Sus scrofa: one gene and its partners. The protein of the gene in region 3 interacts with the protein of the main gene of each other region in a biochemical or structural test. Links are inferred from orthologs where the notes say so. Each region holds a gene or a part of one and is shown on either strand. Other genes may lie near its edges. The genes, in order: EIF4EBP3, EIF4G3, EIF4E and IPO8.

The links.
Region 1: the proteins of EIF4E (region 3) and EIF4EBP3 form a complex in vitro, tested with the Homo sapiens proteins (2 studies listed by IntAct, with this or other methods). The link is inferred for Sus scrofa from reciprocal best matches to the Homo sapiens genes EIF4E and EIF4EBP3.
Region 2: the proteins of EIF4E (region 3) and EIF4G3 form a complex in vitro, tested with the Homo sapiens proteins (3 studies listed by BioGRID and IntAct, with this or other methods). The link is inferred for Sus scrofa from reciprocal best matches to the Homo sapiens genes EIF4E and EIF4G3.
Region 4: the proteins of EIF4E (region 3) and IPO8 form a complex in vitro, tested with the Homo sapiens proteins (2 studies listed by BioGRID and IntAct, with this or other methods). The link is inferred for Sus scrofa from reciprocal best matches to the Homo sapiens genes EIF4E and IPO8.

Annotation. Positions count from the first base shown.
Region 1 is NC_010444.4:142,298,730-142,306,406, reverse strand, and holds EIF4EBP3 (eukaryotic translation initiation factor 4E-binding protein 3), read right to left. Parts: upstream 2,527-7,677; 5' UTR 2,461-2,526; coding exon 2,358-2,460; intron 1,356-2,357; coding exon 1,182-1,355; intron 1,026-1,181; coding exon 997-1,025; 3' UTR 688-996; downstream 1-687. UniProt on the Homo sapiens protein: Repressor of translation initiation that regulates EIF4E activity by preventing its assembly into the eIF4F complex: the hypophosphorylated form competes with EIF4G1/EIF4G3 and strongly binds to EIF4E, leading to repression of translation.
Region 2 is NC_010448.4:79,068,585-79,076,064, forward strand, and holds part of EIF4G3 (eukaryotic translation initiation factor 4 gamma 3), read right to left. Parts: intron 7,283-7,480; coding exon 7,136-7,282; intron 6,714-7,135; coding exon 6,477-6,713; intron 4,804-6,476; coding exon 4,699-4,803; intron 2,186-4,698; coding exon 2,053-2,185; intron 1-2,052. UniProt on the Homo sapiens protein: Component of the protein complex eIF4F, which is involved in the recognition of the mRNA cap, ATP-dependent unwinding of 5'-terminal secondary structure and recruitment of mRNA to the ribosome. Functional homolog of EIF4G1.
Region 3 is NC_010450.4:121,436,028-121,443,507, reverse strand, and holds part of EIF4E (eukaryotic translation initiation factor 4E), read right to left. Parts: intron 2,973-7,480; coding exon 2,866-2,972; intron 1-2,865. UniProt on the Homo sapiens protein: Acts in the cytoplasm to initiate and regulate protein synthesis and is required in the nucleus for export of a subset of mRNAs from the nucleus to the cytoplasm which promotes processes such as RNA capping, processing and splicing.
Region 4 is NC_010447.5:43,111,552-43,119,031, reverse strand, and holds part of IPO8 (importin-8), read right to left. Parts: intron 6,949-7,480; coding exon 6,792-6,948; intron 3,691-6,791; coding exon 3,532-3,690; intron 2,582-3,531; coding exon 2,425-2,581; intron 1-2,424. UniProt on the Homo sapiens protein: Involved in nuclear protein import, either by acting as autonomous nuclear transport receptor or as an adapter-like protein in association with the importin-beta subunit KPNB1.

The DNA of each region.
Region 1 (7,677 bases), on a different chromosome or scaffold from region 3:
TAGGGAACTTCCAAATGCCACAGGCAGGGCCCTAAAGATTTAAAAAAAAAAAAAAAAAAAAAAAAAGAGACTGCCCTGTTTCTATTTCATTACCCTTGAGGTATGCAAATGCTGCAGAGATCACATAGCTTTGTAAGTTGAAGGTTTGAAAGACCAGATTGCTGAGATAGGGGATCGTGATTTTTTTCCCCCCATGGCTCTATCTGACTCACCAGATAAGCTGCGGCCTCAGTTTGGGCCCTGCTTTCTAACTTTGCAAGGACAACGGGACGAGGTGGAAGGGGCCAGGAGGGTCCTGTCCTACTGTGAAAAGGGAGACTGCTTACAGGTGGGAGGCAGAGGTCTGGGAGAGACCACTGAATGCTATAGGCTGGGGACAGTACCTCTTTTCCTGCTTTGGAATAGGGAGGGAGGGGTACTGCTCCGGAGGCCTGATTCCAAGAAGGCTGCTTCCTGAAAAGACTGGGACAGCCCCTTGGCAGGGGTCAGGCTACTGCTGTTGATGATTTGGTGGCTCCTATGGCTTGCCCCCAAAGCCTTCTCAGGCTCTAATCATGGCTGGAAGTGGGCCCAGTGAGGGCTGGGAAGGGACCTGGGAGCTCTGAGCCTAAGCAGGTTTGCTGGGGCCCTCAGCTTCATGTCTGAGATGGGAAGGTCAACATTGAGGAGAACAGTGGAGCCAAGGCATTTCTTTGAATGTTTACTAAGCAGTCAGAAAGTGACATTCTCCACCCCCCAGTCCCAGCCTGAGCCAAGGGCCAGAGGTTAGGATGAGAGCCTACAGACCAAAGAGAAAGTTGAGCTAAGGGCCTGGCAGGTTGCCCACTCCTCATCCCTAGTCTAGCTGCCTCAGAACTAAGGGAGGCCCAGAACCAAGAAGTCACCCCCTTCCGGATGAGATGAGGCCATCTGGCCTCTGGATACCCCGGAAGAAAGGAGGTAGCGGCAGCAGCATGAGGGGTTCTTCCGACTCCACACACGGCCATCTGCACTGGATTAGATGTCCATCTCAAACTGTGCATCATCTGGAGAGAGAAAAGGCAGGAAGACTGGGTGCTGGGCTGGGGGTCTGCAGGCTCCCTGTCAGTGCAAGAGGCCTGCTCAGAACTGAGCCCCCACTCCATTTAACTGGGGCATGTGACTTAAAGCCATTTCTTAATTTGAGGGCCTGTTTTCCTTACCGGGTATCTCTTCCTCTGTCTCCTTCTGCCCCTTCAGCTCCTCTAGCTTGGAGGATGGGGCTGTTGGAAGAGTTGTGACCCCGGGAATCTGAGGGAGGCAGCAGGGGGGTGTCCGGGCAATGGGTGAGTTCTTGCATTCCAACAGGAACTTTCGGTCGTAGATGATCCTGGTGCCTGTCAAGGGGTAAGGGCGGTTGAGAGGCAGGCGTTTGGGTACAGAGCTGTCTGGAACTGCAGACAGGCCTTTTAGGGACCAAGATCTTTAGAAAATCCTATTTGGTAAAGGTCTACTGCACTAAGCAGTATGTGTCTAGGCACCAGAGGGCAAGGGGGCATCCCAGCTGGTCTAGGCAGGGGCTTTTGGTTTACCGGAGCCTGAGGCCTCCGTTCTGGGAGCACCCGACTTGATCTCAGGTACTTCAGGCTACTTCTGTCCTGCTGTTGACTCTGGAACTTTACTGCTTTGGTTCGCCTAGCCTTCTTATCTCAGGTGGACCAGGAAGCCAAACAGCAGATGTGAGGGCTCGCGCTGCCCCCTGGGCTTGTGGATCCCCTGCTGGGAGGAGCAGTGCCGCTCCTTTGAAACAGGGACACGCTGTTCTTATCCTGACCCCTCCCAAGTCCTATCAGGCTCAGCCCAGCCTAGAGGAACTTGGCCTGAATCATGTCCTCAAAGGGCCCTATCCTGTTCTCACCCCTCCCCTTTGCTTCCGCGTGGCAGGAACTCCAGAGAAGGCGTGATCCCAGGCTGCTCCAGGCCAATCAGCCACAAGCAAGTCCCCCAGCACCAAGGCCTGAAGCCCCTGCCCCCGACTGCCAAAGTCCTGCTCTAGCAGCTTTGCATGACCTGACTGCTTCCTGCTGCACGCAGTTGGGGCCTCTGCTCCCAGGCAGCAAAGTTAGGACTGGCAGGTGAGCAGGGAACTCGGAACCCAGTCCACAGGGATGTTTCTGCCCAGAGTCACCCAGAAACTAGGCTCAAGGCGGTTTTGCATCACTTTGAAGTTTTAGGGAAATGGGCTTCAGCTCCAAGCAACACCCCCGGCCCCGTCCCGGGGAGCAAAGCTTGTAGAGGGGCCCGCGGACAAGTTCAGGCCTGCAACCCCCCACCCACATCGCGAGACACGCACACGCCAGCCTGCCCGCTGCCTGCAGACCCCGGCCCCGCCCGCTGACCTCCCGGGGTCGTGGCGTATAGCGTGCCCCCCGGCGTGCTGCTGTAGCAGTCAGGCAGCCCGTCCCGGCCTCCGGGGATCGGGCGGCTGGTGGATGTGGACATAGTGAGCCAGACGAGCAGGAAGCCAAGCGGCTGGTGCTGAGGACGTGGAGCGCTGAGCAGTCTGAGGCGGACTCAGTCGACCACGTGCGGCTGCAGCAACACCGGGACGTCACGCCCGGGGCGGGGCAGCTGTCACTCAGCCCCTTGGGGCCGCCCTCCTCTGGCGGGAGCAAGCCCCAAGCTCGGTGGGAAGGAGGCCCAGAGCTCGCACTGGCCTTCAGTTTCTCCTGGCCCAACCCTGGCCCGCCTGCCTAGCAGCACTGCAGCCACTCAGCTCTTCACCATTTGCAGAGGGCGCTCTGTGTTTTCGTGTTCATTCACCCACTGCTTTAAACAGTAAAGCACTGCTATGAGCCTCGTTTTGCAAGTGAGAAAACCAAAGCCCAGAGAAGTTTCAAAGTCTACTAGGAGGGTGAGCTGGGATTCAGACTTGATCGTATCTGGTTCGAGCGTATGCCCTTCAGCTTAGCTGTGTGCTGCCTCCCATTAATCAGCCATCCCACAGGGTGCAGAGGGCCCCATGGCCTGGTGCCTGGCACAAAGGGAAGCCCCGGGAGGGAGGGTGGCCTTTCTGGACTGATGAAAGGATGAATAAAGCCTATACGGGATGGAGGGGCCTGGGGAGGAGGGATTGGTCTTTAGCTCGCTGAAAAGTAACGTCAGAGAACCTGGCCTTTAAAGAGAAGACTTTTCGATGTAGGCATAGTGGTATGAAAAGAGGCAGGAGAGGTGGTGGGAAAGTAAGTACGAAGTCTAGTATTTATATACACTAAAAGCCTCAACTTGATCCAGTTGTCTGATATTTGGCCTCCTCAAAAAAAGACTGGATTTTACAAATCAGTGCTTCTCAAATTTTAACATGCACATGAATTACCTAAAGATCTTGTTAAAATGAGGATTCTGACACAGTAGGTGGGACTTGAGATTCTGGGTTTTTCATAAAATCCCAGGTGATGCAGCCCTTAGGTCTGCAGGTCCTTAGAATCAGGTAGCAAGGACATGGATATTTTATTGTTCCAAAAAGGACTTGAGCCTCTTACAAAGTGGTGTGTGCCTAAATGAAGTGTCTAAGCAATACTGGAAGGTAAGGCTTGGGATCAGATGGTGAGGAACTATCTATGACAACTCAACCTTTTTTTTTGGCCTCACCCTTGGCATGCAGAAGTTCCCAGGCTAGGGACTGAACCAGAGCCACAGCAGCAACCTGAACCACAGCAGTGACAATGCCGGCCACCGGGAAACTCTGCCAACCTTGTTTTTCTTTTGGCTGTGCCCACAGCACATGGAAGTTCCTGGGCCAGGGATCAAGCCTGTGCCACAGCAGCAACCCATCCATCCCAGTGAAAACATGGATTCTTAACCTGCCGTGCCACTAGAAAACTCCTGCCAACTCAACTCTCTCTCTCTCTCTTTTTTTTTTTTAGGGTCGAACCCACAGCATGTGGAAGTTCCCAGGCTAGGGGTTTAATTGGAGCTGCAGCTGCTGGCCTACGCCATAGCCACAGCAATGCCAGATCTGAGCCATGTCTGTGACCTATACCTCAGCTTGTGGCTCACTGTGTGAGGCAGGGAATCGAACCTGAATCCCCATGGATACCAGTCAGGTTTGTAACTTGCAAAGCTTCAATGGGAACTCCTGCTAACTCAACTTTTAAGCAAGGTAAGTAGTCTAGTGAGGGGGTATGGGGGATGGGATGGAGGACAATGAGAATGAAGGTGCAAACTCCCTGATACACAGAGGGGGAAGGATAAGGTGCTTGATTAACATCCTGTCAGCTAGGATCATTCCCAGACTTGACTTGAGAGGCTTGGTACAACCTAATGATACAGGTCTGAAGCTACGGAGGGAGAAGTCTGGGCTAGGGGTTCAGATTTGGGTGGAGTGAAATCCAAGAGCAGGGGAAGAGATTACCCGGGGAGAAGATACACCAAAAGAAGAGGCCTGGGCACATCAACATTTATTTAAGGAAGAGTGGAGAAAGAGGATTTTACCAAAAGAGACTGAGAAACACCAGTGAGAACAGAACTAGGAGAGAAGTGACGAAGCTTTTCCAGAAGGATCAGTGTGGAAGTGAGGTCTCTCTTCTCTTAACCGCTACTATGAAACAACAGCAGCAGTTACTATTACTATAAGCCTTCTATTGGAAGCTTACTTTTCTTGAGACACTGTGTGCCGTAAGGGCTGGGGAACTAGAGAATAGGTAGTTGGCTTTAGAGAGAAAGCCAGATTCATGTCCATTCAACCCAGATGAAGGACCAGGAGTTTAAACCAGAGGGTTGTTTGACAGTGACTGCTCATTAGAGTATGGGAGCTTAAAAAAAAAAAAAAAAAAAAAAAGTTCGCGCAGCTCCCAACCCCAAAGGTCTGATTGAACCTGTAAGGGAAAACCAGGTCTCTGCCACCAGTACCATCAAGATGAAAGAGAAAGAGGTGAAATGTAATCACAAAATACATTTGCAATCTGATGATCAGATTCATGAGCTTGTTTTCCAAATTAGGTTTTTAAGCTTAAGCTCCTGCCTTTTATTGAAGGCGGTCTTAACACACTTAAAACCACTTTTCTCTCACCTGTTTCCTACAGCAGAGCGTGAAGGTAAAGTAACCTGTCAAATAACATTGACACATGGTCACACATCACCCAGGACAGGGTCCACTGGGAAGATGTCACGACCAGCCACACTTCTTTGTAGAAGAGAAAAGCTCTAAGGCTAGTTAGAGAACAAGCTGTTCAGCAGCTGTTTTCCCACAGCTTGTTTGCCTCTTCCTGGGTCTATGGTGTGGTACAAAGGTCTTAAACAGGGGGCCAGGACCACGCATTCTAAGCACGCCTCTCTGTTTGGCTTGAAACTCTAATGTGACCAGCCTTTCCCCTTCTGAAAGCTACCCCAAACTAAGGATGGTCCTCTCATATACTAATTTTGAGGATGGGAGGAGAATTTGGCCAGAATCTATAAGAACAGATGGAAGCTGTACTTCCAAGTCCTGAGATTTCTTTTTCTTTTCTTTTCTTTCTTTCTTTCTTTTTTTTTTTTTTGGTCTTTTTAGGGCTGAACCCTCAGCATGAGGAGGTTCCCAGGCTGGGGGTTGAATCTGAGCTGCAGCTTCCAGCCTACGCCACAGCCACAGCAACGCCAGATCCGAGCTGCATCTGCGACCTACACCACAGCTCATGGCAACACCAGATCCTTAACCCACTGAGCAAGGCCAGGGATTGAACCTGCGTCCTCATGAATACTAGTCGGGTTCGTTACCACTGAACCATGACAGGAACTCCCCAAGTCCTGAGATTTCTTACCTCTGGTTAGGAGAGGCCACCATTGGCTGTCCAACTCTCTTCTTCGGTCTGGATAGCTGAGGTGGTGAGATTTCCCCTTTGAGAGCAGGGACTGAAGGAAGCAGACTGGCCTATAAAAGGGCAAGTCAGCACACTGTAGCCACAATAGGTCTAAAGGGTCTTAAAAACATCAATGATTTTATTGGTGGTGAAATTTTATTACACTGAACACTATTTGAAATAAGTGGGTCTAGAAACCTTAATGACACAGGCTTTGTTTGTTTTTTTCTTTTTAGGGCTGCATCTGCAGCATATGGAGGTTCCCTGGCTAGGGGTCAAATCAGAGCTGCAGCTGGAGCCTATGCCACAGCCACAGCAACACAGGATCCGAGCAGCATCTGTGACTTATGCTGCAGCTTGTGGCAACGCCGGATCCTTAACCCACTGAATAAAGCCAGGGGATTGCACCCAAATCCTCATGGATACTAGTGTGGTTCTTAACCTGCTAAGCCACAATGGAAACTCCCTGATGATACAGTTTTATTCCTTGAATGAGCTGTTATTTTTCAAGGGGTTTTATCTGTGCCTCGGCAGGATTTTCTTTATGACTTGAGGGCTCACTATGGGTGCACATGAGGTTTTCTTCTGTTTCCACTAAAATCCTAAAGTCAATAATGGCCCTTACAACAGCAGGCTTTTGATTCCATGTGAAAACAAATGGGAGGGGCTCTTAAACCTCAGCAATGTGAACCATTCTTTTGGCTTCTATTTTTCCCATACCATATTCCCATACCATGCACAAGACAAAGGAGAAAACATGTTAGAACTAGGAGACCCTTTTGAGTTCAATTTATATTCAATTTCATTTTTTAGATGAGGAAAGTGAAGCCCAGAGACAAGAAATGATTTGCTGAGGTCATATAGCTTCAAGTGGCAGAGAGGAAAATAGAATTTAGGTTTCTGACTCTTGTTCCCCTCTAACCATGCTGCCCCCCCACCCGCAGTCCCTTGTATATTTTGAAAGTAATTGAGTTCTTACCTGAGCTAGGTTTAATCCAAGGTTCAGGTTGGTAAAATAGCAGTAAAGTAATGCCAAGAAGAGGCAAGACAGAGGAAGAAGAGATTATAGCAGGCAAAATGGAGTGGGGAGTAGGCTACTGGGATTCAAATAGAAAGAAAAGGAGGCAGTGCTGGTAAAGGGGCAGAAAGGAGGGTATCCTAAATAACTGCTGTAAACGACACAGCTCCTGTTTCTTCCTAATCCTCCTAGAGGTTTCTCAAAATTCCTCCTCTTTTTTATTTTTGTCTAGTTCCTTTCCTGAGATAAAAAATTTCATTCTGTTGTCCTCAAGGTATAGAAGATAGGGTTAAGAGCTCTTCCAATAATTCAAATGTACTGTAGATAGTTCAGACAGAAAAAAACTCACCATTCTGTGCCACTGAAAAATTTACTTACTATTATCTCTCACTAGTATATGTTTCATCAAGTTTCATTTATTTTTCTATATTTCATTTATTTATATATTTATATAAATATAAATATGTGTATTTCACTTATTTATAGTTTCATTTATTTCTCTAAATTAGGTGACTTTGTTGTTGTTAGTGCTAAGTGGAAACAGCAAGACATGTGGGTGTTCCAAAGGGTCTTTTGTCTCTCTCAAGGTCAGGGTGGGGTGGGGTGGGGTGGGATGGGGGGCTCTTGAGATTACGTAATGTGGTTATTAGGCAGGCACTACAAAGGCAGTAACTTCAGTACCAGTGATATTACTATTTTCTGTGTATCCTTCTTTGCCTTGATGTATGTTTTGGCTTCTCTATCAGACACAGTTTCTTGTTTTTTTTTTTTTTCTTTTTTAGTTTGCTTATATCTAAGACCAGGTAATTCAACCATATTAAAACATGAACAAGTTGATGACTGTTCTTTTCATTGGGATAGTTT
Region 2 (7,480 bases), on a different chromosome or scaffold from region 3:
TTATTTATTTATTTATTTATTTATTTATTTATTTATTTAGTCTTTTTGCCATTTCTTGGGCCGCTCCCGCGGCATATGGAAGTTCCCAGGCTAGGGGTCTAATCGGAGCTGAAGCCGCTGGCCTACACCAGGGCCACAGCAATGCTGGATCCGAGCCGTGTCTGCAACCTACACCACAGCTCACGGCAACGCCGGATCGTTAACCCACTGAGCAAGGGCAGGGATCGAACCTGCAACCTCATGGTTCCTAGTCGGATTCGTTAACCACTGCGCCACGATGGGAACTCCCCTTTATTTTTTTTATAGAACACAGCAATTTGAAAAAATTATATATTTAAGCATTTATACCCCCCTTCCCCCGCAAGACATGAGATGCATGAGGCAAGGGACTTTGTCTTTCCTGTTAGGTGATACTCCCTCAACAGATATTCAGTCAATGAATGAAAGACCATCAATCTATCTATCCAAAAGCTTTTCCAATCCTCACAAACTTTTTAATTTTCTCTTTGCTAAATGATATTAATGATCACAAACTGACTTGCTTATTCCTTGTTTCTATGACACGATATCCCAGTACTTCTTCCTCTCAACTGGTTCTTCATCTGTCACTTTTTTAAGAATTCTTTTCTTCCTTTAGTTATCTGTGGACACCTGTGGATTAGGCTTTCATGTTTTTTCCCTCTCAATCTAGCTAAATAGTAAATGAAAGTAATTACCTGAAAGGGCACTGTGCTAGGGACTAAGGTGAGGAAGGTAAGCATGGTGTCCTACAAAATGGAAAAGTACACTTTTTTTCCTGAAGGAGTCATCTCTCAGAGTTTCACTATGAGCTGTATAACGTCTGTGATAAGCAACAGCTAATGGTTCTTGAGTATTTACAAGGTGCCAGTTGCTCCACTGAACACTCTACCTATTTTACCTCATTTAATCCTCATGCAAATCCTAGGGGCTATTGTGAGATCCATTTTACAGACTAAATGACTTGTGCAAGGTCATACAGCTAGTATGCAGGAGAGCTGAAACGCAAACCAAGACAGTCTGGCTCCAGAGTCTATGCTCTCCATGCTACCGGAGTATGACCCTCATCACTTAACTGCACGACAGACAAAACAAGCATTCCCATCTGGACATCATCTCGACATAAACAGGCTTAAAAGAAAAATAATCATTTCCTCTCTGATAAAGGCTTCCTCTTTCAACATTCCTAAACTTAGTCAACACACTTTCCATTTTCTCAGGTGTAAAGTATCTTCTATTTCATCTTTCCCGTTTTTTTCTTCCTTTTTATTCTTCTATGACTAAATCTTACCTCCTTCCGCACAGGATCTGAGGCAACAGCAACAGCAACATTTCTGAGTTCAGTTTACCCCTTGGTTCATCATGTGAAGAGCAACAGACTGGTTTTATGTACACACCTCTAGCATAACATTATTCCTTTGCTCAGAAACATAAAATGGCTCTTTAATGGCAAATCAAGCCAAAAGTTTCTAAGCTGGTTCCATTCTTTCAGAAAAAACATTTTTCCATTCCTTATGAACACTTAAATTTTACTCTAATCAGGCTTATTTATTATTTTAATTCCATGACTAGAATTTTTCCTTCCCTTCCAAATACCAATACCTGGATCAACTGCCCCTTCCTCAAATAAGAATTTCGTCCAGCTTTCTATCTCTCGTCTTCTGAAATTTAACGGCCTTAGTGGAGAATACATTTCATAATTCATCTTCCAGTTGCTTGAAACGTTCCCTCTATTAGTTCTGACTTGTCAGATAAACCGGAAGCTGTTAGAGGGAAGGAACTACATCTTCTACTTCTTTTTCTCTCTCTCACCAATACTGAGTATACAGAAAATGCTCAACAAAGTCTTGTTGATTACTGCCTTTGATGTGGTCAAAGAAATCATGTTTAGTTCCTATACTCTCTGCTTTTACTCCTAACCAGTCTCCAGGTGAAGCTGCTTCACTTACCAACTGCCTCTCTATTCTGCGGGTTCAATCTATCTGTCTCTTAAACTCCCAAGTTCTCTAATGCCTGGTGGACTCCATCCCTCACCTGGTCTTCTCTTCTCTTTGGTCATGAGCTGCTGGACCTTCCTTTGCTCTTCTTGTTCTTCTATTTTAGCCTCTTTGTGAATCTGTTCAATAGTTTTAGGCCCTTGATCTGCTCTTCGAGATACCCAATTACACTACAAAAGGAAAAAATAAGATTATCAGCCAGATAACTAAGAAGAAAAAGGAAACATTTGAAAACCTATCTTATACTTTCCACTGCTGGAAAAGTATAAGATACATACAAAATCTGGTACTATGGCAGTTTTTCATCCGTCTTACACATTGGCACATGGGGTGCAGTCTGGGTGTTAGAGATGAAGAATTCAATTTTTCTCAATCAACCTGAGCTACTGTATACTGAGTCTTCCAACAGCTGATGGATAACAACACAGAGTGAGGGACTTGACCCAACTGGGTGTGTGCGTATTAAAATCATTTTGCACTTTTGAAAGGAGTAGAGGGAAGAGGAAACAAGAAAGATCAGGGGAGCTCCCGTCATGGCTCAGCAGAAACTAATCTGACCTGAACCATGAGGTTGCGGGTTCGATCCCTGGCCTCGCTCAGTGGGTTAAGGATCTGGTATTGCTGTCAGCTGTTGTTTGGTCACAGATGTGGCTCGGATCTGGTATTGCTGTGGCTGTGGCACAGGCTGGTGGTTACAGCTCCAATTCGACCCCTAGCCTGGGAATCTACATATGCTTCGGGTGAGGGCCTAGGCCCACCCCCCAAAAAAGATCAGGATTCCTCGGCCTTGACTTAGTCTGGTGTAAGGCCACTCAGTTCACAGCAAACTCCACTGCAGTTCTAAATCAAGGATGACTAGCACTTTTTGTCCTCCTATATGAAGGTTCTGGTTTCTATACAGAGTGCCACACCCTCTACCCTTTAGTCATCCTCTCTATTGAGGACAAAACAGGCTGTCTCCTTATAGTTATACTTCTCCCTTTCCTTCCCTACCCAGCTGTAATCTCCACATCTGATATAAATACAAGTGGGTGAAGGCATGGGTGGTGGTGGAGAAGTTTTTAATATTTATTAATATTAGCTTGAGGCAAGAATAGCAGATAGCTTTAAATCAGCATTTAAATTCAGATCAGCTGGCAGTGGTGGTATTAAGAAGAAGGATCCTGAGTCACACCTCAGCTTAGCAATATAAAGAACCATCATCATACTGTCTGTCTGGGTGCAGGGCAGGGAATAGGTGGGACCTAATTTCACTTTCTCTAGCTGAGGGTCAGCTGCAGCATTCCTATGGCAGTTAAAACAGGAAAAGGGAAAAGAGGTGGTAGTGGTATATAAACCGTACCTGGTATGAGAAATGAGAAAAAAAAAAAAAAAAAGGCAGTAGAACAAGAGGGTATACAAGAAAAACATTAAAAAAGAAAACATCTTTTGAGTTGGGTACTTTACATAATTATCTCACTGAATCTTTATATCATATCTCCAGAGTAAGCAACATCCCCATTTTATTATTTTTTTGTCTTTTGTCTTTTTAGGGCCACACCCGCGGCATATGGAGGTTCCCAGGCTAGGGGTCTAATCAGAGCTGTTGCCGCTGGCCTACACCAGAGCCACAGCAACACCAGAGCCAAGCCACGTCTGTGACCTATACCACAGCTCACAGCAACACCCAATCCTTAACCCACTGAGCGAGGCCAGGGATCGAACCCGAAACCTCATGGGTCCTAGTCGGATTCGTTTCTGCTGCGCCAAGACAGGAACAACAACACCCCCTTTTTAAAGACTAAAATGTAAGGCTCAGGGAAGTTAAATGTATTCATTGTGAAGATGAGGCTCCTTGATTAGCTCTTTAAGACTAATTTTATTGACCACAGTTTGAATTCAGAATGGCTGATTTCAAAACTGCAATGTGGTTTGATAATCAGAATAAAGAGGAGAAACAAGGAGTTCCCGTCGTGGCGCAGTGGTTAACGAATCCGACTAGGAACCATGAGGTTGCGGGTTTGGTCCCTGCCCTTGCTCAGTGGGTTAATGATCCGGCGTTGCCGTGAGCTGTGGTGTAGGTTGCAGACGCGGCTCAGATCCCGCGTTGCTGTGGCTCTGGCATAGGCCGGTGGCTACAGCTCCAATTAGACCCCTAGCCCAGGAACCTCCATATGCTGCGGGAACGGCCCAAGAAATAGCAAAAAGACAAAAAAAACAAAAACAAAAAAACAAAAGGAGAAACAAGTAACAGACAGGTAGGTATGTATGCCCTTGGTCCTCTCACACAGCTCTCTCATGAAAATTTGCCATCTCAAGTTCTGAGAGTCATGCAGCAAAAGCATTAAGTTATCACACATGTGTGCAGGCAGTTTCCATGGTGGCTCAGGGGTAAGGAATACAACTAGCACCAATGATGACGTGAGTTCTACCCCTGGCCTCACTCAGTGGGTTAAGGATCTGGCATTACTGTGAGCTGTGGTGTAGGTTGCAGATGCAGCTGGGATCCCATGTTGCTGTGACTGTGGCTGTGGTTGTGGCTGGTAGCTGTAGCTCTGATTCAACCCCTAGCCGGGGAATTTCCACGTGCCGCATGTACGGTCCTAAAGAAAAAAAAAGTTATTATACATGTAATTACTAGGACATTCCTCATAGCCAACTTATGAAAAAGAGACGAGAGTGGTAGGCTTATTTTTCTACTTACCAGCCTTAGGTCTATCACATCCTGAAGCATGAATCGAATCCTAGATGAGGTTTTTCTTTCTTTCACAATTTTCTCCATCTGATTAAAATATTGGTCCATACGTGGCTGAAAGAGCAAAATCATTAGTATTCCTGGCTGAGGAATTCGAATGTAGATTTACCATGTAGAATATTATTTTATTACTATTTTTGCTTTTTAGGGCCATACCTGAGGCATATGGCAATTCCCAGGCTAAGGGCTGAATCAGAGTTGCAGCTGCCAGCCTATGCCACAGCCACAGCAATGCCAGATCTGAGCCGTGTCTACAACCCACACCACAGCTCACAGCAATGCTAGATCCTTAACCCACTGAACAAGGCCAGGGAATGAACCTGCATCTTCATGGATGCTAGTCAGGTTTGTTTCCACTGAGCTACAAATTCCTCATGCAGAACTTTAAAAGGACCTAGGAGTACAACTTAGAGTCAAAAGGCAACGTGATGGAATTTTTAATTGAACGTGGCATCCAAAATAAAGGCTACATATTCTAGGCACCTGGCCATGGGCATGTGACTAATTCTAGGTCCAACAGAATATAAATGGAAATGTCATACTGTACCTCCCTGGAATCTTAAGAGAGGGGTGACTATGTCCTTTGCCCCTTTCCAACATTCTCTACTGTGAGATGAGGAAGGACAAGGGCTACACCTTAGGGATGACTGAATTTAAGCTGGAGGAACTGATATTTAGCCATCAGACCAGCCTCAGACTTATCTGTGAAATTCATTTACGAGAGTGAAAAATAAACCTCAATCTTATATAAAACATTGATATTTGTGGTTTTCTTTCACAGCCAAACATAATCCTAGTGGATTTTGATGTTAGGAAGCATTTGTGACATTTCTTTGATGGATTTCTAACTTCCCTACCCCTTATTTGGGGAGTACCATGTTATGTTTGAATTATATTATTTTTAATGATTTCTTTTTTTTGGCTGTGGCAGGTGGAAGTTCCCAGGCCAGGAATCACACCCAAGCCATAGCAGTGACCCAATCTGATCTAGTGACAATGCCAGCTTCCCAACGCACTGCGCCATAAGAGAACTCTAGTGATTTATTATAGTTTTATACGTCTGTCATTAACTAGAGCATAAACTTAAGAAGGCTACCTGGGAGTTCCTGTTGTGGCTCAGTGGTAATGAATGTGACTAGTACCCATGAGGATGCATGTTCGACCCCTGGCCTCAATCGGTGGGTTAAGGATCTGGCATTGCCATGAGCTGTGGTGTAGGTTACAGATGAAGCTTGGATCCCATGTTGCTGTGGCTGTGCTGTAGGCTGACAGCTACAGCTCCGAATGGACCCTTAGCCTGGGAACTTCCATATACTTCAGATGCGGCCCCAAACAGACCAAAAAAAAAAAAGCTACTGGGTCTTCTTCATTTCTTTCTCATTCTCGGTCCTGGCCCTTAGTAGCTTTTCTCTCCAGAATTTCTGCCAACTTACTCTACCTATACATACAAAATGATATGTGAGATAGTCATGCAGAAAAAGGACAAGGGACAGATACTCTGAACCATTTGTGAACTGGCTTTTACACAATTTGGGGCCCTCTTCACGTCTGACTTTACTGAAGATATGGTAGAAGCATGATGGCCCAACACTGACAGTGAGAAGGATGAAAGAAGACAAACAGGAGGCTGAGACGGCGGGGGAAATAGGGACACTGCTGCTGACAGTCTCCTTCTTCTGCAACTGACAGAGTCCCTGCTGGAGGTTTCTGGGATTTGGGGTTTTCACCTTGGCTTTCTCAAAGTCCAGGTCTTTGCCAATTGTGGTGAGTAGGCGACACAGGCACTCGAGGGATTCTTCATCATGGTTCTTTAGCAGCTTTACCACACAGTCATGCATGATGGCTTCAGTCAGCATTTTCAGTTTGAAGAGCTCCCCAATAAACTTGATGTTACCAATGGATCTCCGCCGGGCTTTATCCTTAGCTTCTTCCAGTTCATCATGAAGCCTTGTCCTCTCCTCTGGCTGTTGCATAAGGAAGAGTAACAGAATCTTGATGATAAAAACAGTATGCAAAATAAAGGCTAAAAACACGCATAGAGAGTCATGGTCTCTACCTTTCCAGGCATCAGGGACACACTCTGAGATTATGACAGCAGCTACAGGCCTACTCAGAAAATGAAATACACCCAAAAGTCTGCACCTATTTCAGGCGATTTCTCGAATTCAGTGACCTCTCTGAAATCTAGGTTCTGAATCCCTAACTTAAAAGGTTGAGTTGCTCTAACATGTGGCACTAAAAGGAACAAAGCTGCCTCTAAACATCAATAAAGTTATTTCCACATGAAGAAAAGGCCACAGGCACCTGCTGAAGTAGTAAGAAGATGTTGTAAGAAGCTTTGTGAAAAATCTATTTAATAACACTGTCTTTCTGTGAAAATACTTACAGCACTGGCAGCCTCGAGTTCTTTCTGCTTCTTTTCGAAGACATCATCATCAGCTTTATCTTTTTCAAACTCCTTCTGGCAACGGTTCAGTAGCAGCTTCCGGAAATTCACTGTGTTACCAGGCTTGTCTGCCATGGGTACTTTCAGCTGCATCCAGATGGGAAAACGCAAAAGCAGCAAGATTACTTAAAGAAATTCAATGATTTTCTCAAAATACCTATTTTCTTTATTGTGCAAAATAATGCTGACTGAACTACAGGTAAGCACTCTGTAAGAGGTATGAAATATAGCTTCAGGAATTTCATGTTTCAATGGTTAAGATGTTTTAAGTTTTATACAGAAAAG
Region 3 (7,480 bases):
AAAACAAAAAACAAGACTATATATTTATCTAATATAGGATACTAGTTTATGAGCTGAAATCTACACATACAAACAAAAAATTCTACAGTATGGCCACCTGTATAAAAAAGATAAACATGCACTGGAGTTCCCGTTGTGGCTCAGAAGAAGCAAAACCGATTAGGATCCATGAGGATGTGGGTTTTATACCTGGCTCCACTCAAAGGGTTAAGGATCTGGTGTTGCTGTAAGCTGTGGTGTATGCCAGCAGCTGCAGCTCTGGTTCAACCCCTAGCCTGGGAACTTCCTAATGCCACAGGTGCAGCCCCCAAAAAAAGTGAAAGGAAAAAAAAAGAGAGAGAGACATGCATACTGAGGTTTTAGGAAAATACAAACCAACTTTTAACACTATTCTGGGGTGTAGATAAAAACAAAATGGGGAAGAAGAGATAAGAGGAAAGCAGAACTTTTACTTTATATACCTTGTACCCCAATGATTTAATCCTTCCTGTAATAATTACAGGGTTTTTAAAAAGAAAACATAATATATTCTGCAGTATTTACAAAAAATAATGATGACAAAACTACCAAAATCTGAACCAATAATATCTTTGAATGGTTTTCCAAATATTAAAGAAATAAAATTTATAGAGAAAACTGAAATCCTCATAGACTTCATTTCAGGATTTAATCAGTTTGTTCACTGAAGAAGACACCTTTCAGGAATCTCTTGTCAAAATTCATTTAATTTATGAGGAGTATACATGCCTTGATTACTTCTCCCCACAATAACAACACTAAGAACTGTGTTCACAATCAGAAGACACAGCTTTTTAAATGATAATGAAAAAAACGAAAAAAAAAAAAAAAAACTTTAAAGGGTTTGGTACTGCTATTAGGTTGAACTGTATGAAACTGCCACTAATCAACTGTTCAACTTACTACTTCTGGCACAATGCTTTCCTGAAGCAGTATTTTTTTTTTTATCCTTTATGGACTATTGGACCTTTGATAACTTACTCACTAGCTGACAATTCCTATTGTTTAGAAAATAGATCTGCAGAACCATGGGTCTTCTACGAAAAAACTACTTACACATTTTTGTACTATTAGTTCAGTAAGTCTACCATGATAGTGAAGAAATGATTTAAAAAAAAAATATATATATATATATGGGCCATAAAGGGACAACACATTTTTCAGATAAATTAAACCAAGTATATACAGACTTGTGGGTGTTTTTTGTTTTGTTTTGTTTTTTGTTTTTTGGACTGTACTTGCGGCGTACGGAAGTTCCCAGGCTAAGGGTCAAATTGGACTTACAGTTGCTGGCCTACACCACAGCCATAGAAATGAGGGATTCGAGTGGCATCTGTGACCTTCACCACAGCTCACGGCAACACCAGATCCCCGACCCACTGAGCAAGGCCGGGGACTGAACCCACATCCTCATAGATACTAGTTGGGTTTGTTTCCACTGCATCACAAACGGAACTCCAGACTTGTGGGATCTTACGTAAAGAGAGTAAAAGGCCTGGTGGTGGGGAGGAAATGAAAGGAGCTGTAGTACTTAAGAAGCCTCAGAAGTTAATTCCAATTTACTTTCCTCCAGATTCTTACAATGTTTCTGAGTTGCCATTTTCTTTCCACCATCAGCTCTCAGTGACTTCAGTTAATTTTCATTACATAAACCAGAAAGAAAATTAAATAAAAACACATACTGGGAAGTGGCAGGGTGGAGACAGAGAAAACCATATACTGAACTATATTACAATGTAACTATGAAAATTTACCTCACCTTAAACTCTCTTTTCTTCTCTTAACTTCTCTTAAATAAAAACTGACCCACCTCCAGACTCCATAGCTCTCTTTCCTCCTTCACAGGCTAACCTGAAACCATCTATTCCTGCTGTAAACATTAGTATACTTTCTATTCACTCTTCAAAGTACTCCAATCTTATTCCACCTACTAAACTTTCTCCAACACTAGCAAGGATTTGGCCTTCAATCCAATGAATATTTGACTCTTTTGTGGCACTGAAGTTATTGACCATCTTTTCCTTAAAAAAAAAAAATAATTTTCCTGACCAGCACACTCTGTCCTACTTTATACAGTTTATATGTCTATACCCTTTATAGGCATTTTTGCTCAAAAAAACCCCTATGTGGGAGTTCCCATCATGGCTCAGTGGTTAACAAATCCGACTAGGAACCATGAGGTTGTGGGTTCAATCCCTGGCCTTGCTCAGTGGGTTAAGGATCTGGCATTGCCATGAGCTGTGGTGTAGGTTGCAGACATGGCTCGGATCTGGCGTTGCTGTGGCTGTGGTGTAGGCCGGTGGCTACAGCTCCTATTAGACCCCTAGCTTGGGAACCTCCACATGCCTCGGGTTAGTTAAAAGAAAAGACAGAAAGACAGAAGGAAAAAAAAACAAAAAAAAAAAACCCTATGTGGAGTTCCCCTTGTGGCTCAGTGCGTTAAGGATCCAGCCTTGTCATCAATGTGGCTCTGGTCACAATTGTGGCTCAGGTTTGATCCCTGGCCTGAGAACTTCCACGTGCTGTGGGTGCAGCCAAACTGCCCCCCCACCCGCCGATGTGCTAATATTCTAAGCCTCCGTTGTGAGTCAAGTTCACTTAAGAGAACTTATTTACTACTGTGGTTTCAGTTACCAATAACCAGTGAATTTCAAACCAATACTTCAAAGTCCTACTTTCTGAGCTCAAGATTCACAAATAAAACTACTTGGTAAACATGGGTCATCCAAATGAAAATGGAATCGACCTATCTAAAACTATTCTCATCTAATCTTTCCCTCCAAACCTGTCCCATTCACCATTTACTTTGTTGCCTAAGTCAGAAAACCTACTTGTCAAAAAACTTACCTGTTTTGTAAAGGATGTTTAATATAGTGTTCTGGGTTAGCAACCTCCTGATTAGATTCTGTTTTCTCTTCTTCTGTAGGCGGGGGATTAGGAGTAGGGGTGGTTTCCTGTTGGAAAATAATTAAACATTATAAATTTTTTAACGTGAATAAATTTCTTAATTTATATGACAGCAATAACTCTAAATAAATTTGAACCAATATTGTCCATATCATTTTTTTAAGGAGAAGGAATTACAGCAAAAGCTTTTGATTAAACAGACAATCTCTAAAGAAAGCATTACTAAAAAGACAAAAAAAAAAAAAGGCACCAGACCATTCTGGCATCTCTCCACTGAGATGCAAAGAGTTTAGTTTCTCTAATTCAAAAATATAATGATAGTATTTTTCATATACTGTTATCTTCTTACACATTTTAATATCAGAAAAATTGTGATAGGAGTTCCCGTCGTGGCTCAGTGGTTAATGAATCCCACTAGGAACCAGGAGGTTGTAGGTTCGATCCCTGGCCTTGCTCAGTGGGTTAGCGATCCGGTGTTGCCGTTGAGCTAGCTGTGGCGTGGGTCAAAGACTCGGCTCGGATCCCGCATGGCTGTGGCTCTGGAGTAGGCCGGTGGCTACAGCTCTGATTAGACCCCTAGCCTGGGAACCTCCATAGGCCGCGGGAGCAGCCCAAGAAAATGGCAAAAAGACAAAAAATAAATAAATAAATAAAAAGATTGTGAGAGACCATGCAAAAAAGTTGGGAAAATCAGGTATCTTTCTTAACATACAATTAAAGTGCTATGCATGCTTTCTGGGGAGGGGGTTTAAGTTTGGAAGTGCAACTAATTATATTACAATGACTTAAAAAAAAAAAAAAAAACTTTATCAAGCCAGTACTACACAGGTCCTTGCCTTCATGTTATACCGTTATGACACATGGTAACTTAAAAGTTCAGCAACTTCTTTCTCAATTTGCCCTAAGGAAAAAAGCTAGACATTGGCTTGAACTTAAATCTTCTTCTAGGTTACACATAATACTGTCATCTAAAAATGTCAAGAAAAAAAAGAAACGTGGGAATAAGACATGTTCTCCACATCACTCCACGTAGTTCTTTAACCTATTTTAAGCTGGTATCAACAAAAAGGTGGTTAAGAAAAGGGCTGAAACAAAAGCTGATACAAAAAACGGGGGCACTGCAACAAGGGTGTGGATATCAGATTCAAATCAAGCCAGCAAAACAATAGATACACTGTCACATTAACAACACTAAGCAAATCAGAGATGTATAATCTAAAAACAGCCCTCAGGGAGTTCCCGTCAGGGCTCAATGGTTAACGTATCCGACTAGGAACCATGAGCTTCGGGTTCAATCCCTGGCCTCAATCAGTGGATTAAGGATTTGGGGTTGCCATGAGCTGTGGTGTAGATCGCAGACGGGGCTCGGATCCCGAGTTGCTGTGGCTCTGGTGTAGTCTGGCGGCTACAGCTCCAATTGGACGCCTAGCCTGGGAACCTCCATATACCACAGGTGTGGCCCTAGAAAAAGACAAAAAAATAAATAAATAAATAAAAAGAAGAAAATAAAAAAAGACCTCAAACAAAAACAAAAGACCTCAGAGAAGACACATTTTATAAAATACATTTTTCTTATCAACAAGACACTTCCAGGAACTACTTTTTCACTATCCTATAAAGTCAGTCATAGCAGGGGCTTTATCTTGATTTTGCTCACAATTGTAATGTCAATGATCACAATGCTACACTCAACAGAAACTTAACTGAATAAACTTAAATGTTTACTGAAGACTAGTTAAGGCCCTAAAATTTACATATAGTAGTAGCCAATGCCTTAAAATTAGCAACCATTTGTACAAGCATTTTCTCATCACAATTTAAGTCTTCAAGTAGATGGTCATTACCAAATAGCATTCCTTACTCTACTAGCTTAAAATTAATGATGGTCTCCACACAGAGGCAGTCTGAATGAATAGAGACAATAAGGAACAGTAAGGGACTGACAAGGCAGGTGGATTTGGGGAACAGGGTCCCAGAGAAAAGTAAACTGTAGAGAGAAATTCAAAAACACATGGGGGGGTAAAAAAAAACCCCACAAATCCTTGGCTGTGACTTAGTCCTAAACTGAGATGTTCAGAGTGCAATTCTGGGTGGTCTACCAGAGAACAGCTAAGCCAAGATTTCAGAGGATGAACAGCATTAGGAAGACCAAGTTCAGACCTAGCCAGAGTGGATGGTTGAAAATCCTCAGGTTTCAGATGAAATCCTAGAAAGGTCATGTCCTAGGAATTAGGTGAAATACACATACCTAACAGATTCTAAAACTAATCCTTGGCAGGATCAAGGCAATCTATTGCTAACTGTCTTCAAGAACAAAACTCTACACTCTTCAGAGGAAAAACATAATCCTGAGGCTCTATGAATATTATTCGTAAGACCTAACAAACAATCAAATTACTAGACATGCAAATAATGTTTTGTTTTGTTTTGTTTTTACCAGCAACTAATGATGAAGAGATTAGGAGTTCCTTGATGGCCTAGCAGTTAATAATCTGGCATTGTCACTACTATGGTGTAGGTTTGATCCCTGGCCAGGAACTTCCCACAACATGGGTTCAGCCAAGAAAAAAATATATATATCACTTCCAAAGGAACAATAAGAATAACTGGTAGCGTCTCAACAGAAATTTTGGAAGCCACAAGACAACAGAATAACATCTCAATGCTGAAAGAAAAAACTGTCAACTTAGAATTAAGTGCCTAGGAAAAGTTATTCTCCAGAAATAGAGAAATAAGGAAACATTTGCACAACACCAGAAAGTCCAAAAAGAGGAACACTAAAGAAAGTCTCAGGTTAGAGGGAAAAGCTCCCGGATGAAAGCATGGAAGTACAAAAAGAATGAAAAGCGCAGGAAAAGTTAAGAAATACTGCCAATTCTCTTATTTAACTAAAAGACATACTCATAAGCTCAAGATTCTCATGGCAAACTACTCTTTCACAGCATTTGTTTACATCTTTACCTCAGCAGCACATAAAAAACAGCTCCTGCATACTGCCCCCCGAGTACAAATTTTCTCAGGTCATATATTGCTATGGCCATCTACTTATTGCAACAATCCATTCTTAATCAGTAGAAATTGTACACCAAAAAGTTTACCATCAATCATTCACTCTGTATGCATCTTAATTCTGCAATTATGTTGTAAATATACAAAATATATTTTTAAAAATTCACAAAGGAAATTTTTTGAGACTATTGACAAAGGCCTCATTACAAAATCATTTCGGTAATTTCTCTCAACTTATTATTAAAACCTCTTGACTCTGATACAAATAATCAAGATGCTTTCTTCATTATTTTCAACTTAGATAAAGCAAAAGTAATAGCCATGTAGGATGTTCTTTTAAACTCTCAGGTTAATCCATGGCAGTTGGCTATTCTATAGGTAAATTCCAATCCCTTATCTTTGGAATTTATGGTAACATACAATGAGAAGTACTTTCCCGAAAGATGGCCATGATGCATTAAATTTTTCGATCAAAAATGACCTTTTAGGGAGTTCCTCTCGTGGCTCATTGGCAACAAGCCCAACTAGTATCTACGAGGACTCAAGTTCCATCCCTGGCCTCGCTCAGTGGGTTAAGGATCCAGCACTGCCATGAGATGTGGTATAGGTCGCAGACGCAACTCGGATCTGGTGTTGCTACGGCTAGAGTGTAGGCAGGCAGTAGGCTGGCAACTGCAGCTCTAATTACACCCCTAGCCTGGGAATTTCCACATGCCTCAAGTGCAGCCCTTAAAAAAAAGAAAAGATGTTAATTATGGACATACGCCAAGTAAGAATGAAGAAGTATACTTTTATTTTTATTTATTTATTTTTTGTCCTTTTGCCATTTTCTGGGCCGCTCTCACAGCCTATGGAGGTTCCCAGGCTAGGGGTCGAATCGGAGCTGTAGCCACCTGCAGAATCCGAGCCGCATCTGCGACCAACACCACAGCTCAGGGCAACGCCGGATCGCTAACCCACTGAGCAAGGCCAAGGATCAAACCCGCAACCTCATGGTTCCTAGCTGGATTCATTAACCACTGCGCCACGACGGGAACTCCAGAAGTATATTTTTAAAAGAACCGTAACAAAAATATTTTCAGGTCATTCCTCAGTTAATCAGTTAAGCATATACCTCAATTAACTGTAACAAATCCCCAAATTATTCATTACTTGTCCTAATTGGCTAAGCACTTGTTTTTTTTTTTTTTTTTTTTTTTTTGGCTGCACCTACAGCATGTGAAAGTTCCCAGGCCAGGAGTTGCACCTGCACATGGCACCAACCCAAGCCACTGCAGTGACAACGCTAGATCCTTAATCCACTGTACCACAGAGGAACTCCAGCTAAGTACTTCTAATGTAAGCTGGATGTCTCCTCTTAAAATTCTTTCTAAGGCTATTGACTACTGAGGTATCTAAGACAGGATCACCAGAAAATAGGTTCAGGAGGATTATGTGGTAATTGCAGCACCAACTTAATGAAATTTTCCCTGAAAACCCCTAACAGATGTTTTCACGGGATGTTTAAAATGGATTCAGTCAGGGAGTTCCCGTGGTGGCTCAGCAC
Region 4 (7,480 bases), on a different chromosome or scaffold from region 3:
TGTATTATAGTGTGCAACCCCCACCCCTACTAAACAATGAGCTACAAGAGATGAGGCGTAGCATCTCTGCATGCATGCACTGCAAAACCTGCTATACACTAAGAACATAATCATAAGTAAGAAACAGTTTCTGTCCTCACAAAGCTTACACTCTAGGTGAGGAAAAAAACACATTTAAATAAGGAATTACAATATGGTGTGACAAACAGTATGGATAAAAGCAGTATAATGTTGACAAGGGCACCCAGGAGGCCCACCTAATACAGCCTGGGAATATCAGAGACAAGTTCCTAGAAGAGATACACAGTACCTTAAAGAAGCAAGAAACTCTCAGAAGAGAGAAAGGACACAGCCACCTCATGAAGCTGAAAGAATTTCTGCATGGCTGGAGCGTAAAGTACAAAAGCTAAAGCCAAGTATAACAAGAGATGAAGGGTTTTATAAGGCATGTGAAGTTCACATTTTGTTCTAAGTGCAGTGGGGAGTCAGTTGGCTTTAATGGGGAACAGAGGAGGATCAGGCTCAAAGCTGAGGGAAGTGACAATGAGTTCATTTTTGGACAGATGACTTCTGAAGTATGCATGGAACATTCAAGTGCCTTGTACACAATAAATATTTAATAAATGCTTAGACAAAATCAATTAAATTGTATCATACTTTTTAAAACATAAATGTTTCTGCCTCTTCCCAAATTGTCAATCACTTTTTACTAAATTATCACTGTAACTGTGGCTCTTACAGCTTTCGAAATTTCCCCGTGAAGAATATTGCTACAGTAGCATATAGCATAATACCAAATGGTTTACAATAATGAATTTTTAATTTTTTTTTAGGTTTTTAGCACATACATGTTGAGAGAAAAAAAAATTTAGATCTTATTCTCTTAGCAAACCAAATAGAGGTAGAGGCTTTAAGAAAACCATTTCATAAGCCTCTAACTTCCTCATCCTGGCTATGCTTATCCCAACAGGAAAGAGAACTCTGGCCTTTGAATAAATAGGGTATTGGAGTTCCCGTCGTGGTGCAGTGGTTAACGAATCTGACTAGGAACCATGAGGTTGCGGGTTCGGTCCTTGCCCTTGCTCAGTGGGTTAATGATCCGGCGTTGCCGTGAGCTGTGGTGTAGGTTGCAGACGCGGCTCGGATCCCGCGTTGCTGTGGATCTGGCGTAGGCCAGTAGCTACAGCTCCGATTAGACCCCTAGCCTGGGAACCTCCATATGCCGCGGGAGCGGCCCAAAGAAATAGCAAAAAAAAGACAAAAAAAAAAAAAAACTGAATAAATAGGGTATTACTATATCTAATGGCAAAAGATATCACTGAATAAAAAATGGTACAACCACTATGGAGATACCTTAGAAATCTATACACAGAACTACCATATGACACAGTAATCCCACTCTTGGGCATATATCCGGACAAAACTTTCCTTAAAAAAGACACATGAACCCGTATGTTCATTGCAGCTCTATTCACAATAGCCAAGACATGGAAACAACCCAAATGTCCATCAACAGACGACTGGATTAGGAAGATGTGGTATATATACACAATGGACTACTACTCAGCCACCAAAAAGAATGAAATAATGCCATTTGCAGCAACATGGATGGAGACTCTCATACTGAGTGAAGTAAGTCAGAAAGAGAAAGACAAATACCATATGATATCACTTACATCTGGTATCTAATATAAGGCACAAATGACTCTTTCCACAGAAAAAAAAATCATGGACTTGCAGAATAGATTTGTGGTTGCCAAGGGGTAGGGAGTGGGGTGGTTGGGGAGATTGGGGTTAAGAGATACAAACTATTGCCTTTGGAATGGATTAGCGATGAGATCCTGCTGTGTAGCACTGGGAACTATGTCTAGTCACTTATGATGGAGCATGATAATTGCAAAAATACAATGTGTACATGCATGTGTAACTGGGTCACCATGCTGTACAGCAGAAAAAAAAAACTGTATTGAGGAAATAACCATTTAAAAAATAATAATAACAACAACAACAAAAACATCTGCCTCAAAGTGATTTCCCTAAGGAAGATTTTTTTAAAGGGGGCTCTCTTCTTTACTTTCCCATTTACCTATAATCGTAACTAATCTATAGGCAGAATGCTATGGACAAATTAGTCAAATTACCAGTTTTTAGCGCAGCTGACTACCTTGTTTCTTCCATACTCAGACTTCAGATACTGGAACGAAAGGGAAACAAACACTGAATCTCAGCTCTGCCACTCAGTTAACTCGGACAATTAAGCTGACTTCTGCAAGCCTCTTCTCTCACAAGGATTTTTTTTTTTTTTTTAATATAGTGAGAATATATAATGTGCAATTTTTAACAATAACAGACACTTACTGAGAACTTTCTATGTGTCAGGCAGAAATACAAGCACCATAGTCATCTTCTGCTATAGAAACTTACCTGAACAAGTGCATAAAAGATTTTCAGGATCTGCTTCTGTAGTAAAACAGAATAATGTGAGGAATCAGGAAGGAGCTGCATGATTTGTTGCTGAATACGAGGCAGAAATATTTGCATTGCTGCTATAAGAGGTTCTCTTTCCTCTGCTTTCTTATATCTACACAAGCAAAGACAAAAAGAGAGAAAAATAATTTCTCCCCACAAAAGAGCTATAAACAATGAATGAAAAACAATACTTTCTAAACTACATAAAGCTAATAAAACAATAACATACGAAACACAGACTTATATTTTCTACTTGGATTGTTAGAATAAACATGAAAAGAACTTTGAGAAAGCACATCCCTATTTTAAGCAGAATACCTAAAATCCTTCCAGAAAGAAACTAGTTTAAAAAAAAAATCCAAGACAGCTTTGCAACTTTCCTATATGAATTTTTTAGTACTGAAATTAGTTTTCATCATATCACAATCCTTCCTATACAAGTTGAATGTCAGTTTAAAAAGACATTCCTATTATATAACATATAATACGGGGGGAAACATTGATTCATCCACTCTCCTACATTGAGATGTTAAAACAGTATACAAATTTAGGTGCTCTTAGATCACTTTAACTAGGTATCCATCTAAAATAGTCTCTAAAAATTCTTTTAAAAGGAAGACTATCGACTGCAGGAAAACAATCCCCTTAGATACTAGAAAGCAATGCTATTAAATGCAACACTAGTCCCACACCTCCCAAACAACTTTTACAGAAAAGAAAGTCACCAACAGAGAAACTTAAACATTGTTTACCTTGCATCCAAAAAAGTAAATGTTTGTTTTACTTAACAATATGCTCACTTAAAGACAAATGTTAAGGTACCTCTCCATCAGTTTCCAAGGAAAGCTGAGACTAACAAATAAATTTGAGAAGGACTACCTTAGAGATTAGTACATTAGCAGATTAAATAGTCTTTGAAAAACTGTAGAAAATAAACATGTTTAACTGTATTTACCAAACTAACATCATTCTGCAGAATAATCATAGCAGACCCCTCTATGCAATGTAATTCTTTCCAAGTAACACATGGCTGGTATCTTCAACCAACAGAAATCAACTTACTCATACGTCTTCACCAGTTGATACAGACATAATAAACTGCCAAGCCAGCTTCCACTGCTCTGTGATTGCAAGTAATAGTCTATCTTGTCGACTACCGCTGGCCAATGACCAGGGAAATCGTATTTAATGATGGCACGGAGACACATTGTTAACTGGACTCTATAAGGTGGGGGGGAAAAAGTCCAAAATCTAAGTAGTTATAAATATCAGGCTTCAAAGACCTCTAATATTTTACATAAAAACACTCTGATTCCCATTTACCTACATTATATAGTTATCTATCTAGGGTTGGAAGGAAAAGAGTAATCCTATCAAGAAAAACCTCCTCAGGAATTCCCGTCATGGCTCAGCAGTAACAAACCCGACTAATATCCATGAGGACATGGGTTCTATCCCTGGCCTTGCTCAGTGGGTTAGGGGATCCAGCATTGTCATGAGCTATGGTGTAGGTTGCAGACACAGCTTGGATATGGTGTTGCTGTGGCTGTGATGTACGCTGGCAGATGCAGCTCTGATTGGACCCAAGCTAGAAACTTCCATATGCCACAGGTGTGCCCCTCCCCCCTAAAAAAAGAAAGAAAAACTGCCCCAGTAGCTCAAACTCACTGAAAGAAAACAAACACCAAGGTTGACTGCCTAAAATGAATGACATCTTTCAAATGATAATATCCTAAATACAACTTTGCTTTAAAAAAAGAGAATTTAAAAGTAAATTCATAAAACTTTTTCAAAAAACAGTGGATCCACCCCAGCTCTATAAAATTTCCCAGCTTATTATATTTTGTATTTTGGTTATCATAGCCTAAGAAGAAAACAAAACTAAAAACGTTTTATCACTTCAACTAAAAACGGTCAAAGAAAGTAAAATGGAGGCCCACATCACAGCAAGAAGCACCTCTGTGAGGCCAAGGCTTGAACCATTCATTGTCAGTTCCCAGCCATACAGGATACTACACCTACCAGAGATTCCTCAGATACTAATTTCTATAAGTTGGGTATAAATAATAAGCATTAGCTGGCAATTATTGAAGAGGAAAGCTAAGAGTTTTTCCCCAAGAATTAAAGAAAAAAGCAAGAGGGCAGACATAAAACAGAAAAAAAAAAAAAAAGGCATCTCTTTAATAAAATTACAAAGTTAAGTGATAAAAAAAGATGTGATCACATAATGCATCAGGTCAGGCATCATTCTTCAACTGGATCCCAATTTTAACTGGGATTGAAAAGAAAGTGAAGGCAAAAAATTTCTCTTCTACAAATTATCAGTATATCCTTACATGGTCACTTGCAAATGGTAAGAAAGTAAATCCACAGTGAGAAGAAAAAGGTATGTGTTCAGTTGAATAACTTGAATTCACTGAAATGAAACAAATAATCCTTTTTCCTTATGTTATAAATCAATTTGCAAAAGATCCTTTGTAATACTCTTCTATAAACTTTCAGAATATTTCTTCCAGAGTGGTTAGAGTTAGCCTTCAAGACGTAAGAAAGGCAAAGCTACAAAGAATATCACAATAAAGATATCCTCTTGTGCCACCAGCAACTGTTCCTAAACAACCAGTAGATAATATCTGTATTCAATAAAACTGAAACTTTTCATTCATTTAATCTCATCTTCAGATTAACCCTCTTAATCCTTTCTCATTCCAAGACAAGCAAAGGACAACTGTGAACAGCCATCCTTTCATGTATTACTGTGTAGAAGCATTGCCTACAAGATTCAGAGAGATCTGAAATGCAAAGACTTTGACAAGAAATGGATATCTGGTGGTACCATAGGGAAGCCAGTGCCAGAATGGATGTGGGCAACCAGTGAGAATAAGGATGCTTTTCTTTCACCAGGACATCAATTTTTTCCTCTTAACAAAACAACTGCACAAAGAGGAGTTCCATATTTGTCCTCTTTCCTCACTGTCCCTCTCATACTTCCTTTTCTTTCCTCTGCTTAGGGCATATGTGTATTACACACTCACAGACAAAGATACATCTAAGTTCTTGAAACTAAATAATTTTATTTCCATACCTCGGTTTCTATTATTTCCCTCCTCCATTTTCAAAAGAAACCTAATCACTTGCTCATGTTGAAAAGAATTTGTTTCTCCTATTTTAAAATTGCATTATTCTTCTGACTTCACAGCTTTGCTGTCCAATAGGGGAGCCACTAGCTATGTGCGCACACTGTCACTTAGTCAAAATTAAATTAAAAGTGTAGTCCCGGAGTTCCCGTCGTGGCGCAGTGGTTAACGAATCCGACTAGGAACCATGAGGTTGCGGGTTCGGTCCCTGCCCTTGCTCAGTGGGTTAATGATCCGGCGTTGCCGTGAGCTGTGGTGTAGGTTGCAGGCGCGGCTCGGATCCTGCGTTGCTGTGGCTCTGGCGTGGGCCGGTGGCTACAGCTCCGATTGGACCCCTAGCCTGGGAACCTCCATATGCCGCGGAAGCGGCCCAAAGAAATAGCAAAAAAAAAAAAAAAAAAAAAAAGTGTAGTCCCTCAGGAGTTTCCTCGTGGCTTAGCAGATTAAGGATCCGGCATTGTCACTGCTGTGGCTCAGGTTTGATCCCTGGCCCAGGAACTTCAGCATGCCAAGAGTGCAGCCAGAAAAAAAAAAAAAAAAAAAAAAAAAAAAAAAAAAAAATTAGTTCCTCAGTGACACTAGACACATTTCAAGTACTCAGTTGGCTTTTAGGCCACGTGGCTAAGTATCAGGTAGTGCGGACAGAGATTTCCACCACTGCAGAAAGCTCTAATGGACAGTACTGTGCTACAGCTGCTAATCTAAATTTGGAAAACAAGAGATAATTCTTCTAATTTATACTTTCTCCTCAAAGAAAAAGATACTCAGTTCATAAAAATGAATTAAAAAATAGGTAAAGTGTTACAAAAAGTGGTAGGTTAAAATTCCGAGAAGTCATTTTCCCTGTATCTGGGGAAAGAGAAGCAAATGGTAAAAATCTAAAGGTCATAACTAAGTACATTAGTTATCAATGTAGTAGGGATCTATACAACGATTTTCGTTCCATTTGATTTTTGCTGTAACACTTTTTGTGGCAACTTACAGCAAGTACATCTTTTCTAAACTATTTTAAGACAAAGAATTATAAATGCAAAAAAAAAACAACTAACTAAAACTGTATTATCTGAGTGCCCATCTTCATGACTTTGTATCTTTAACAAAACAAACTTGAGGCCTATGATTAAATCCAACCTCCCTCATTGATATATTTTGTGGCCCTACTAATCAGATAGATATAGTATAATGTACCTCACTAAATCTGGAGACCGAATTATTCCTTCTACAATATTATCACGTATTTGCTGGCGATCATTTTCATGAATGTTGAATGGAAATATTGCTTCTCCTGGTGGAGGTTCTCGGTCCGGCCAGTATTGTGTCACCATGTTCTTCAAGTAAATGGCAGCTAAATGAGAGAAAAAAAAAAAAAATGCTAATGTAGCAGTATTGAAAAAATGGCTTTCATTCAGATTTACAGAGCATGAAAGGCTAAACCCTTCAATGCTAAACATGATACCTAGCAAAAATGGAAAATCTTCCAGTTATAAATAGCCAAGTGGGGAAAGAAATATACATATAAATTTGAAGTTTCTCTTTCGCTAGTAAAGTAAGTCGAAGCAGAAAACATCGTATTAAATCAAGAGTTTATATACAGAAAAATGATCTAGAACTCAAGTATGTATCTTTAGACTAAATACATGATGATCTAAACGAAACTCTACTAACTGCAAACTGCACTTTGAGATCATGAGTCATACTATTTATAAGGCCTAATACTGAAAAACAAAAATTATTTGAGAGAGAGAGAATTAGTTAGTTTGGGGTTTTGTCTTTTTTTATATCAGATCAAACAGGTTCTAGACTAAGTATCATCTTTTACTTCAGTATTTTTATTATATACTAGTCACTGGTAATAAAAACACATAAACTGTTGAAAA